Drosophila melanogaster: one gene and its partner. The protein of the gene in region 1 interacts with the protein of each later gene in a biochemical or structural test. Each region holds a gene or a part of one and is shown in the gene's direction. Other genes may lie near its edges.

Region 1 (6,270 bases):
GCTATGCGGCTGGGACCGATGAGATGAGGCTGGGGAATGGGCCTGGCCAATTTGTCGATGAGTTGGGTAAATATTAAAGGAGAAAGTGCCGCCGTCAGTTGGACCAAAAGTTTTGTACTCTCCTTGTACATATTTCTGTTTTCGGTTTTCTGTTTTTGAAAAATATTTTTGCACAGGTTACATATTGTTGAATTATTTGCACAAAAAGAGAGTGAGGTCAGGTGCAGTCGTCCCAATTTCATCGAGTGTCGATAATTTATGCAAATATGTTCACTAATAGTTATGCAAACGGAAATCTAACCGTGTTTACCACCCATTTTGGATTTCCCTTCGAGTGGCCCCCTCAATGTCAGTTTTTGACTGACCAAAATTTATAAAATGCTAAATTATTCGGCTTAGCAACGTCAATTACTCACGTTATTTAATATTTATGTCAGCTGCATATGACAATAAAAGCATTTTATAATTAAAGTTTGCTTTATGCTCCAGCCGTGATTTGATTACAAATATTGGCAATCCACTGAATCAAAGTCAACACCATTTGATATTGGCTCCGTGTCAATTTCGCAAACACGCCCAAGATCTAAAAGTCAACCGATTGACCCAGAGACCTCGTTTTCAGGGAAGTACCCAAAAACAGGAAGCTCTTCGACCGTGAGTTTCCGGCTATCATTCTAAAACAATATTTGTAATGGAACTAAACTGTTTAGTTACGGAATTCGAGGGGTCAAGCCACATATATACATAAGATATTGACACAATATAGAGAATCTTAATATTTTATTCTTTCAAAATGTGCCATCACATTTTCCTCACATATTTCGATTTGAAGGCCAAAGCTCCATACTTCAATCGATTTTTTTGGCGGCTCAATCAACCGATCAAGCAGCAGGCGCCACATTTAAATTTGTCAGTTGTTTCTTGCATGCTAATGACCGGGTGAAATATTGTAATTAAAAACTACAATGAGTGTTTATTTTAGCAGTATGCGTAAATAGCTGCTCCTCAAACTTTGAAACCCAGTGTTGAAATACATATTTCCAGAAGCATTTGTCGAATGGATAATATCGTATTTGGTTAGCTTTTTGCAAGGTGTCTGCCTTTTGGCGAACGTGGTGACATGTAAGCCCAAAAGCGTACATTAATTGCATTTCAAATAGGCTTTCGGTGGCCTTGGGAACGGTGGCGTATCGGCACGTGATCCTTTTTCCGCCGAGCTGAGGAAATTTATGGCACCCTCACTTCGCTAAAATGCATTAACGCACCGATTAATATTAATTGTGCAGCGGGTATTTACCAACTTTAATAGTTAATTTATGGCAGGAAGATTGATGTAAAGTTTCATGAAAATTGAGATAGTCAGAAATAAAAAGTAATTAAATTCAACCTACTCAGGCTCTAAAGTAATATTTATTTATTTATCGAAAGTAGTATTTATTTATCACCACAATAAAGATCTATGCAATAAAGTCATTTAAAATTTATTTTTTATAAAATTCAAAAAATATCGTTAAATAGTTTTGAACTTTTCCAACAAGGTGGCAATATCTAACTATCGATAGTTTGCCGACGCACACGTTTTTACTGTACCCCAATTTGGTATCACTAATTTATTGCGCTGTATTTTTCTGGATAATTTTCGCGTCGTTTCCTGGATTATTTCATCACTTAGCAAAGTGTGCGTTTGCACATAGGCAAACAAAATAGAGAATTGGGTGAACTTCATCGCCATGGGCCGCCGGTGCTGCGTGGCCAACTGCCCGTCGACGTCGCGTCTGTTGGAGCACAACGGCGTGACTTACCACTCCTTCCCCCTAGATCCCATCATCCGCGCCATATGGATCAAAAACTCTCGCATCAGCCTGGAGCGCCAGATCACCAAGAGCGTGCTGGTCTGCTCACGCCACTTCCGCCGTTTGGACTTCAACACTATCCGCAATGGGAAGTATCTGCTCAAGCCGCGCGTCTTTCCCACCGTTTTTCCATGGGGCAAGATGGATACCGCGGAGATCGAAGCAGACCAACGGGCACTTCAGCACGCCAGCGTGGAGGGAACGACTGAAACCCCGGGAAATGCTCAGTCATCGACCAATGACGATGTGATCAAAGCTACGGTAGACCAAATAGTTGCGCAAATCCTGTCGGAATCTGCAGAACGCAAGGCCACGGAGGAAGGTAAAACAGGCAAGGCGGCGGATGACGTTAAAAATACTCCCGAAAGTGGAGAAGATGCAAACAAGGCAGCTGCAAAGGAACCCTCAGGGACTCCGGTAGCCGCAAGCAGCGAAGCCACAGTCCCAGCTCCTGGATCCGCTTCCAGTTCGAACTCACCTTTGCCCGGCACACCGCCCAAGTACAGCAACCCACATAACCTGACTATTGGCGCCCGTTTGGAGGCGCTCAGTGTGGAAGGCAACTGGTTGCCCGCCCGCATCGTGGAAGTTAACGAGACGGAGCAGACGCTACTCGTGCGCTTTGAGCGCAATCACAAGCTAAAGGTGTCACCTTCGACCAGCGGCAGCTTTCAGGAGTGGATGGCCATCAAGTCGGAGCGGCTGAGGCAGCGCCTCAGCAACCGTGTGCTGCCCGTCTTTGAGCTGGACGAGAAGTGCATGGCCCGCTGGTCGGGGCCGCGTAAGTTTCCAGGAACCATACGCAAGTTGCTGGGCAACGATACCTACGAGGTTCTCTTCGACGATGGTTACGTTAAGAACGTGCGCGCCGTGCACATGAACAAGATGCCCAAGCAGTTGCCCCCTGTTCAGGTAGCGGAAGAGGGTGCCTCAAAGTCACCCACTCCTGTTGGAACTCCAGTAAGCTCTGCACCTGTGGCTCCGAAGCGGGCGAGCACAGGCAGCCTTGGCGGATCCAGTGGCTCTTCGGGCAGCAAGAAGAGCAAATGTGCACCTCAGCGCAGGGATTGGCCGTTGCTGGACATGGCCAGTTTGGATATAGGTAAGAGCACCGAAAGGAGAATGTTAGTTTTGCCTTAAACTTAACTTTCATGTTTGACTTTCGTAACCAACAGCATCCCTTGGACTCCCAGAAATACCGCATGACGGCGAGTGGACTTGTCATTGGGTAAATGACCAGCCTATTGGAACCGAGGGTTTTCTGATTGTGGGCGAGCACCAGAAACCCACTGTTATCGTGCAGGATTGGCGTCTGCCTCCTGGCTGGATCAAGCACATGTACCAGCGGTCCAACGTCCTCGGCAAGTGGGATGTTATTCTGGTCTCGCCCAGCGGCAAACGTTTCCGCTCCAAGTCCGACTTGAAGTTGTTCCTTGAGTCCCAGAATCTGGTCTACAACCCGGATGTGTACGACTTTAGCATCCATCGACGTCGTGCCAAAGACATCAATGCTTACGTCTACACACACGGCTACAATCCGCAGCCACCGCCCAAGCCCAGGCCCATGGATGTGTCGATGAACTCCACGCTGGACCAGAGCATCACGTCGCAACATTCTTTACCTTCTACTCCGATGCCGGTGAAAGAAAGCCAGTACATGGAAGCACCGGTGGCCTCGCTTATGCCACCAGCTGAGTTAATGTCGCCGCAGACGCAGCCTGCCGATGAGACAAAGCCCAAGATAGAAGCAGAAATACTGGAAGCCAGTGAGGGAGGTACCTCTCAGCTTATGTTAGCAGATCCTCATGTGGTGGAAAATGGCTTTGGTAAGTATATGCAATTTGAAATAACATGTGCTATATTAAAATAAATTATAATTCCATATTTCAGCTTTCATTGGGGGCCTAAAAGTCAAAATCCAAGACAATCTTTATGTATGCCCGCGCGAAGATTGCGCCAAGACCTATCGCAAAGAAGACTTTCTGCTAATCCACATTCGCCATTATCACAAGGAGTTTGCAGAGTGAGTAATATTCATTCAAAACTCATGACACCTAACTTACTTTAAATCTACAGACACGTCAGCCACTGTCCAAAGATGCAGGAACTAGCGGTCAAACGTACGCACCCCTCATCCATCGATCAAGTTGAGGCGGTGCCAAAAAACCAAATACCCAACCAGCAATTCTTTGCCAAAATGCACCAGCAGGATTTGCAGCAGTCACGATCGTTTAAACGACAGAGTGTATCAGCTACGGCCACATCTTCAACGCCATCTGACATAACGCCTACTAAGGCCCTGTTATCTCCTAAGATGGAGCCACCAAGTGTGTCGCCAACTGTTGAAAGTGGCATTAAACAAGAAGATGTTTCTCTGGATGCTGGTCCAACTCAGTCGTTTAATCCTTCATTGAGTCGTTCCTGCAAGCGTGCACGCTTGTCGCCGTCGAAGCGGCCATCTGGCTCGCGAAAGAGTAACCGCCAGCGCTCTCAGCGTCGTCCCATTTTGTCAGATAACCCGGCTGGTCATGGCTTAACCGAACAAGATGTTGAGGAGACACGGCAATCTTTTAACACCCCCACTCCGGATACGCGCATCGACTCGAAAAAACGCCGCAGTGGTGCGGCAACAACTCCCATCAGTTCCATTGACTCACCAGCCATGGGAGATTCGGTGTCCACGCCATCATCTAATGACCAGACCGACATAAATGCAGCCCTTGCCCCACCACCAGCTGAAACGTTAAGCAAAGCACCACAGTACATCAAGGAAAATGGTGAACTAATTCGAATTGTGCGCATGCGGCAGGAGGAGATCATTAACTGCATCTGCGAGTATGGCGAAGAGGACGGCCTAATGATCCAATGTGAATTGTGCCTATGCTGGCAACACGGTGCATGCAACGGAATTGTCAAAGAGGCAGATGTACCGGACAAGTATGTGTGCTACATTTGTCGCAATCCGCAGAGGGGTCGGGATTCTATGAGATTTAAGCACGACCAGGACTGGCTATTCGAAGGCAAGTTGCCGGTGGCCGCGTATCACACTGCAAATCCACAGGCCACCAAACAATTCGAGCTCTTGAAGCGCTCGCACACGCTGACCGGCAATTTGCTAGATGCCAAGCGATCGATGCACTCGCTGCTGGTGAAGATTAACATCGCACGCAACCGCTGTCATCCGAAGCTTTATCTATGGGCCAAAAAGTGGGACGAAGACAATCTGGACTCTACTGCGTTGACACCGGTTAAGCGTGCAAAATTGGAGGCCCCCGACCTTCCGAACGTTCCGCAACCGGAAGCTGCCATCGATCCGGAGGAGTGCCAGTACCGTTTGATCGAGCATATCAAGGTGCAGCAATCCTTGGTTCTCGATCGGCTGAATGACATAGAAGCCGAAATGGACGGTTAGTATCCAAAACTAATTTTTGTCACGAGTATATATGAATCTATATATATTTTTGAATTTCTTTTAGAACTTGAAAAGGAGGACACGTTGGATGACTTAAAGGACGCTGACATCTCGACCACAAAAGAGGCGCTGGCCACGTTTATTAAGGAGCTCGAAACCATGAAGCGCCTTGCCAAGCTCAACCAGGTGGCCAATATGAAGCAGACCCTCAGAGATTCTGCCACTAGCAAGTAGCATTTCTATTGATCACGGTTATAGGGGTCTAATGAGGATTTTCTTTTAAGCTATTTTCGAACTGTTTCCATAATTTTGCAGACGTGTAGATAGTAACCGTACAAGCTTTTTCTCTTCAAAAAAAATATTGCTATACTTTATAAAGTTTGATAATATAATGGAATTTAAATGTATATTCTTTTAAAGTTAACCATGTGAGAATACAGAAAATTATAATTTCATGCCCAATTATAAAGTTAAGATGCTTGATGATAAAACCTGACTACAAGACGTCTTTGTGACGTCTTTGTATTCGTGACTTGGTCGCAGTTATGTGTTGTTGGCAATCTCTTTGCTCCATAGCTTGGTTCGCCGCGATGTCGGCAGCCCAGGAGACGCTTTCCGACACCCCGCAGAATAGCACACCTTTGTTAGCCACAACTGTGTCGACCACGAAGGTGATAAGTTTCCGCCCTCGTTATCCATACATCGTCTCCATAGGAGAGAACCTTAAAGGATACTACAAGCACCTTTGCGTGGGCGTTATACTTTCGAATGAGTTCGTGCTCAGTGCAGCCCACTGCATCCAAACGAATCCAACCAAACAACTGTACGTGGCTGGTGGCGCCGATTCGCTGAACAGCCGGAAGCAGACCCGCTTCTTCGTCGTGGAAAGAAGATGGCATCCCCAGTTTAGGGTGCTCGGCGGCAACGACATTGCCGTGTTGAGGATTTACCCCAAATTCCCGCTCGACGATGTGCGATTTCGTAGCATTAACTTTGCTGGAAAGC
Region 2 (7,838 bases), 3.4 Mb from region 1:
ATTTTCCGATTTTTTCTTCAGCGAGTCCATGGCGATGGCTCTCATTTTCTTGCTGACCACCAAGTCTTTCTTCTTGAGATTATTTAGCGATTCGTTGTACTGCTTTATGAAGCTATGAATTATTATTCCCGTGTGGGGCGACAGCTTCTGAATATCTGCCCATAATTCTCCCTCGTTTTTGGGAGACTTTTTTAGACTTTTTGTTGAACTGTCTATGGTGGCTGCAAAAGTTTGGTCTTCCTGTGTTTTTTCCACAGCCTGAGAAGTTTGCGCTTCAATTTTTGATTGCTGAACTCTAGGAGCCACTAGCGGAGTTCTTTTTTTGGATGGCTTTTCGTTTGATCTTTCGAAAAGTTGAGTTTTTACATGATCCTTTTTCCAAACAGTTGGAATTTGGCTGTTTTTTTCTTGGGCAACTGTACCTGGTTTTGGGGCTTTCGAGTGAGCTGCATCCACTAACGGTGCTCCCGATCTTTTCTTGGCGCCCGTCATTTTGCCAGCTAAGCAGTTGTATTAGCGCAACTAATTTATAAAAGAAATAAATATATATTGTACATTACAAACGTTTTGTTTAGTTTACCTAAACTTTTACCAAGTGCGTCCTGCGTTGAAAAGCAACGGTAAACATTAGCTAGAGATGAGCTTGATGACCTACAGTATATTGTTGTTCACAAGAGGTGTGTGTACTGTCTAAATACTGACCTCACGGTATTTTCTACTGAACGCCCCTGGTTTTGCGTTGTCGCCCTGGCTACGATAACTATGTTACAATTTAATAATAATTCTATTTTGGTTGTCAACATTCAGTTTTTGCTAGCTCTATTTAGAAATTTGAGTGCTGCAAGGAATCTAAGTGGCATCAGAAATCTGATCACGACTACATAATGGCGGGATCTGGAGTTGCCAAGCAGATATTTGCCCTCGATTTCGAGATCTTTGGACGAGTGCAAGGTATGCAATGCATTTTTCTGATTCGGCTTGTTAAACAGCGTATTAAATTTTGCAGGTGTGTTCTTCCGCAAAGTAAGTACTGGGAGGCCTATATATATATCTGGAAATCAACATTTAACTTATGTACATTTTTGGCTTAGCACACGTCGCATGAGGCTAAAAGATTGGGAGTTAGGGGCTGGTGCATGAATACCCGGGATGGGACCGTCAAGGGACAACTGGAGGCTCCTATGATGAATTTAATGGAAATGTAGGTACCGCTGCACTCCACTAATTCAATCATTTAACCATCGCCCACTAATTTGAAGGAAACATTGGCTGGAGAACAACCGAATTCCCAACGCTAAGGTCTCAAAGGCTGAATTTTCGCAAATCCAGGAAATCGAGGACTATACGTTCACTTCCTTTGACATAAAACATTAAAAACGAATTATTAGCTCTTTCGTTGTCCATCCAATTCCGAAACAAAGTCTAAATAAATTACCAGGGCTGCAACTTGCGTAAGCAGGCATATCTGCATTGCTATCGACTGAGTCGATAACATTCGATAGTATGAACATAAGAAATATTACGTTTCGCAAAACTGAACCCAGTACTGAAGTACAACAATAAATAAATAATAAATTATTTAAAACAAGGCGGAAAATTATTCCGAGAATCGATAGTCGCTAGTCGAAAGTGCGCACCACTCCAGTATCTACTCGATATATTGCTATCACAGCCGATAGTTTGCAGCTCCCTGCCATAGACACTGGTCATCTCGCTCGCACACACAACAGTGGGCCGCGCCACCGCCATAGGCGGCGCACGTGCAAGAGCGAGACAACCAGCTGGGCGACAGCGCACTTTGGTCTGGCACAGAAACGAGTACAGCTTCGATACACGTCGTTTTGCCAAAAGCGTAGCAGAGCAGTCTAAGCGATGAAAAAAATAAATGAGGAAAAAAGTCCGTGAAGCGAAAACCGTAATTCCTACAGTGCGAGTCACGCCATTGTGTTTGCAAAAAATATTTGCCAATTGTGCTACGGGCAATTTTTCGGAACGGCCGAATTGTGCGTATAATGAAAAAAAATACTACTTAATTTTTAAGCAATTTACAAATTCTTGCGTGCTGCCTGCCTGCTGTCGGTGTGTTCTTGCTTGCATGTGTTAGTGAGTACGATTACTTTCGCGCTGAAAACCTTTTTCCACTGCCCTTTCGCTGGAATCTGGGCGAATATAGATAGGACACAAAGCACATATAACTGATTTTTACTGCAGAATTGATCGAGACATGTGGAATACAATAAATGAGATTGTGTAAATAACTGAATATAGTGGCGCATACAGTTGCACGTGTGTGTGTGCTAGCATGTGCGTGTGTGTGTGTAAAGGCGCGAGTTTCCGTTTGCCTAGGCTAATTGTAGTGGAAAAACTCAATAAACGGAATTACATAAAAACATGGTGGCATGATCGGCAGTTTCCCGCCGGCAGAAGATGCCCAATCTTGGAAAATTGTAATTTTCGAAAGTAACCGCAATGATTTCGTCAGTATGTAAAGTAGTCTGTCAGTCCCTGCATATGTTTGTGTGTGTGTGTTCTATACAGTTTTTTTTATTGCGCATCATGGTGTGCAATAGCGCGCTTTCTGACCTCTCTCTCGCTCTCATGGGTTCTCTTGTTGGCCAAAGCGACGCTGTGTGTGTGTTGTGTACGCATATGTAGCATATGTACATAACACGCCGGAAAAGACAAAAAAAAAAAACCATTCCAAATTTTGAAATCTTACGGAGGCGGGCGGTTTAAACGAGATAAAAAATAAATACACCAATATTGTTCTTTTATATGATAACGCAGTAGTCTCGGACCGAATAGTATGCCTTTATTTTGTCGTCCTAACGCTGAATTGCCGAAAAATAATAGCCCGTTTTTGGAAAATTCTCGACAGGATTAGCATAAAGAGACGCCTTAGGAGTCGAACGAACCAAATGCCGCAGCAGCCGGCCAACGTATTAGCATCAGAACGATGGCCCCAGCGCTCACAGCCGAGCCACTAAGTCCAAAGGAGAAGCTAACCAGCACCGCCTCGCCCTCGGCCCGCAGCTCCTCGGAAAGCGGAGGAGTTGGATGTGCAGTTGGCTTGGTCAAGAAGCCGGCAACACCCACGCCGGCCACGGCCACCACGCGGATTACCCGCTCATCAGCGGCAGCGGCCTCAGTTACCGCTTCCCCGCATCTACAACAGCAGCGATCCTCGCTAGCAATCAATAACAAGCGAAAGTCGGGCAACGCTAAAGCCAGCAATGAACCAATGGGGCTGAGCACAGCCCCGACTCCACACAGCACCACTTCACCAAATCCCTCGACGGATACTGCGGCAGCCTCCACCTCTGCCGTGGAGCACAACAATAACGACAGCAACAGTACCTCCGCCGGCAACAGCACCTCCGCCGACAACAGCTCCACGCCCAAGGACAACTCCACCGCTCAGCTACTGGCGGATCTAACCATCAACTTTGAGGAGACCATATCCGCGGAGATTTGCCTGAGGAAAACCCTACCCGATGTGAGTCTGGGGAAAGAGCCGGTTCCGCCTGCCTCGGTGCTGGCAGTGGCCACAAGTTCAACGAGTGCTGGCAGCGCTCTATCCTTATCTGCAGTGGATGAGGTGACCAAGATAGAAATAGATAATATAGAAGGTGGGTCTAAGGAATCACTCCAAATAAATAGTCTTGACTCAAAATTTCTCTCGCCCACTGTTTCAGAGCGTCTCAGCCAGCTAGATGGGAATGCCACTGGAAGGCCCGAGGAGCATGTGGCACCACCTTCTGTTCCGGTACCCGTGCAGGAGGCGCCAAACACGCCCACCAGGCCACAGGCGCCACCAAGTGCCCATCTTGAGTCTCCGCAGCCGGCGCGAACACAGCAGCAGTCCATTCAACAGATGACGCCGCAAAGCACCACCAGTTCCAACAATTTTCTCAAAGACGGAGCAGCTGGTGCTGTTCTAGAGGATCAGGATATCGAGGAGGTGCTTAAAGCGCTCAAAACATTTGACGGTGGCCATGTTAATCCAGATACCATTTGCGAGTTTTTCGACGAAGTTTGGGAAGAGGCAGCACCGGCAGCGCCATTGCCGCCCGCGCCACCCGAAAATGTGGTGGATGTGCCGGGCGCGAAGCCCAGCTGCAGTGGCATCCTCGTTAGCGGCAGCAACATTTCCCAGCCGAATGTGATTATTAAGCAGGAGCAGCGGCCCTGGCAGGAGAGTCATGCTGAGTTGGAGCAGCAGCAGCACGTTATCTCGCGCAGGATCGAGTTTTTGCTACGCAGGATGCGCAAGCTCCAGGCGCGAGCGATGTGCCGTCACGCGAGCGAGGAGGTGGTTGGTATCATGGAGTGGTCTGCCCGCAGTTCCCATAAGGCTCCAGTTCCAGCGAGAAGTTCCACGCTGACTGAGCAGGAGGCCACTGTCCTATCGATTGTCTCAGGGCGTCCGAGCTCAACCTTCTGGGAGGAGCAGAACAAGCATCCGCTGCCTGCTAGCCAGATGAGTAATGTGATCCGGCATATTGCGACGGCGGCAAAGCATCAGCAAATCTGCCACTCAGCCAGCGGAAGCTCTGCTACTCTGGCGCCATCCTCCAGCTGGTACAACAGCTGCAACAGCTCTGCGCTGCCGATGAAGCGTCCACGAAAGAATCAACTTGATGCTTCGGTTGCAACGGGTGCCACACCCACTGCACCTGCGCCAGGAGCGGTAACATCTAGACAGGCAGCTGGCACGACGGGATCCGCAACGGGTTCGAATACACCGCGGGCGGATGATATCGTGCCCGGCTACGACACCTATGTGACTAATGAACTCACCCATGTGTCTGGCCTGCTGCACACGGAGCTTCGAGAAGTACAGAATGCCATCGACTCGGACGCCACGGAGTCAAGTTCTGGTGGAGAATCCGCTGACGAGATGGTAACCTACAACAACAACCAGCAGCTCTCGCTACCAATGTGAGTACTTCGTATTATTTATGTACATACTTAGGTTATCGGGAATATTTTACAAGTAAACTTTCTTCCATCTTTTTTTGAGGGGGGTTTTCAGCTTCTGTCATCTTTTTAAGATCATTCTTTTGCTATAGAATTTGTCCGATTAATGTTGGCTCGGTAGTTTTCTTTCAAAATTGTTTTGCTTTGACAGGCATTTTAAACATGATTTAACGTCGTCCTTAGCAATTGAAAAGTTGTAATAGGCTTTGATTAGAGTTGTTGTACCTAATTATCGCATTTACAATGCGATATTTCAACTATTTCAACAGTTTTTATTAAAATTGTTAATTAGCGATTATATATTTCTTTTAGCTTTTTTTTTGTGGTATTCTCTTTCCTAATGCTCTTGAAATTTGATTCTTTGCAGCACTCGACGCGCTGTCTGGCGATATTCGAGAGATCGTGCAGCCATTGCCCTGCGCTGGTCCTGGCTCTGCTCCCAGCTGACCGATTTGGAGATGAAGATCCGTCAGCACAGCGACCTTTACATGGATCTAACTCAGTCCAAGGGCGAGATCCAGCTGGAGTCCACAGCTAAGACCTCACCGTCGCTAGCACAGCCGGCAAATGGCATTAAGGAGGAGCCCGGATCCGACTACCTCTGCAGTCGGGCACGTCCATTGGTGCTGTCCGAGTTCCGCAAACGCAAGCTCTTCCAGACCACGAACATGCACACGATTTCCAAGAAAGCCGCACGCCCCAGCAACATTAAGTGTGGCTGCCAGTGGCCGCAGGTGCCATGCACACTGTGCACGGGTCGGACAGACCCTACGGCGCCCAGGGATCTGGTCGAGACGATGATGCCGCAAAACCGGGTGGCATTGCTCGATGCTGGCTACCATCCAGTGCTCAGCTTCGCCAGCGGTGAGTGGGAGGTTACACTGAGTGGACCCATTTGGTTTTCGTCCATGATTATTTCTTATCATCTGTGATGGTTTAACATTATTTATTCTACACTTGAGATTTGAACTGAATTGATTAAAAAGTAAAACTTTAAAATGCAATACTTGCAAATAATTTTTATTCGAAACTAAAACATTAAAATCCTCGTATTCTTTACATTGGATTCCAAAATGAAAAGAAATAGTCGGATGATGACAGCTAAAGTGGAATTATGTTTGAATATATTCTTATCCCTATCATTCTTGTTTCCCAGATGTCAGTCAGTCGGTTCACTTGGAGGCCGTTGCCCGCCAGCCGGACTGGCAGTACCGCGTCATGCGCAGCCAGCCCAAGGCCATTGTCAAGGCCATGTGGAAGGCGGAGCGCGAGACGATAGCCTCAGGCGGTGTCGGCGGACAAGGTGGCAGCCGGCGGTCGGGCGATGCGGCGAAGCGGCGTTATATACGACGCAAGGAGCGCAACAACAACTCAAATAAGGAGGCTGGGAGCGGAGCTAAAGCTGCTGCTGTCGCCGCAGGAGGAGCAGGCGGAAACGGAAGCAGTAGCGTCGGGGGAGGGGATAGCGGAAACGGTACTGGTACTGCTACTACTTCTTCTTCTACTACGCCTACTACAACGCCACTTGTGGCCAACAGTAAATTATTGTAAACATGACGAAATTCGATAATTGTTATTAACATAAAACAACAACAATCTTTTGCATCTCTTCTTCTTCTTTTTCTTTGCATCGATCAACCAAAACACGAAATTCCACCAACACCATCAACAAACACCACCACCAACAACAACAACGAAAAACCCCACCAATTGTTTTATTTTGCCATTCCGTTCTTGTCTCCGTTTCGTCCCCGTTCCGCATCCAAATCACGGACTTGACGCAACATCAGCAGCGGCCAGGGGCAAGCGGCAACCACAACACCCAACTGGAGCGAACAGTTCCAGCTCGCTGTGGCCAGACTCTCGCCAACGCCAACGACAACGCCACCACAGTCCCTCCTCAACCTCGATCTCGGCACTGAGCGGCGCTAAGAAGGCACGCAAATCCGCAACCAACAGCAGCAGCAGCAATTCCACACAGCAGCAGCAGAATCACCACGGCACCAAAATCAACAATCATCATCTCAATGGCTACGGCGATCAGTGGGGGGAGCAAAGCAGGAGTCGTCGCAACTCTTCGCCCTCCAACAGTCATAAAAATGAGAGGTATGTTTCGGATTCAATAACTGATCCCAGGGATTCGCGATAAGTAGTCCTGCTTTTTTTTTATAAGATAGATTGTTATATATAATTTATATGTATGTTTCCCTTGCAGAACCTCTGAGCGTCGCGTTCGTCCCATCTACGACATCAATAACATCGTTATACCCTACAGTATGCTAGCCCAGTCGAAAATGGAGATAATTCCCTACAAGGAAATACCCATACCCAAGTAAGTATTCAATTTTGCGCTAAGTCCTTATTTTATATATATATGTCGCATAATGTAAAATACCAAGATTTGTGTATATCTATTAAAATCACCCATTCCATCTTTGCTTTCAGGTGGCGCATTGTAGACAGTGATAACGATAAGGGAAAACATTCGTCAGATGAGTCAATGGAGCGCAAACTGAGCAATGGCTGTGTCGCATCAAAGTCAGAGGAGCTAGCCAAACAACAGCTACCACCACCACCAGATCAAGATCAAGAGCAGCCGGCCCTGCAGCCTCCGAAGGTTAATGGTTTAAAGGAAAATCAAGCAGTCAAGCACAATAACAATAATAATACAAACAATAATAATAATAAAAATGGACTGGTAAATGGTAACGCCAAAAAGGATGAACTTAAGGCTGCAGAGGATCACGATACGCAATCAAAAGAAGACGACGATCCAAAGGAAAAGGTGGTCAAACCCAAGCTCAACGGAAACTTGATAAAGAATCCGATTGACAAAACTGCCGAAACGCAAGACAAAA

The links. The genes of interacting proteins can lie anywhere in the genome.
Region 2: the proteins of MBD-R2 (region 1) and nsl1 form a complex in vitro, tested with the Drosophila melanogaster proteins (one study listed by BioGRID).

Annotation. Positions count from the first base shown.
Region 1 is NT_033777.3:12,351,604-12,357,873, reverse strand, and holds MBD-R2 (MBD-R2), read left to right. Parts: upstream 1-1,608; 5' UTR 1,609-1,730; coding exon 1,731-2,955; intron 2,956-3,028; coding exon 3,029-3,679; intron 3,680-3,743; coding exon 3,744-3,876; intron 3,877-3,929; coding exon 3,930-5,260; intron 5,261-5,329; coding exon 5,330-5,499; 3' UTR 5,500-5,731; downstream 5,732-6,270. Other genes in the region: CG10041 (uncharacterized protein), read left to right, coding at 5,811-6,270. UniProt on the Drosophila melanogaster protein: Component of the non-specific lethal (NLS) complex, a multiprotein complex that promotes expression of housekeeping genes on X chromosome and autosomes.
Region 2 is NT_033777.3:15,791,951-15,799,788, forward strand, and holds the start of nsl1 (non-specific lethal 1), read left to right. Parts: upstream 1-1,831; 5' UTR 1,832-2,103; exon of another isoform or gene 2,104-2,250; intron 2,251-2,878; 5' UTR 2,879-2,956; coding exon 2,957-3,629; intron 3,630-3,695; coding exon 3,696-4,941; intron 4,942-5,347; coding exon 5,348-5,844; intron 5,845-6,136; coding exon 6,137-6,517; coding exon of another isoform or gene 6,518-6,531; exon of another isoform or gene 6,532-6,770; coding exon 6,771-7,086; intron 7,087-7,195; coding exon 7,196-7,312; intron 7,313-7,425; coding exon 7,426-7,838. Other genes in the region: c(3)G (crossover suppressor on 3 of gowen), read right to left, coding at 1-492; Acyp2 (acylphosphatase 2), read left to right, coding at 885-951, 1,007-1,023, 1,092-1,201, 1,260-1,374.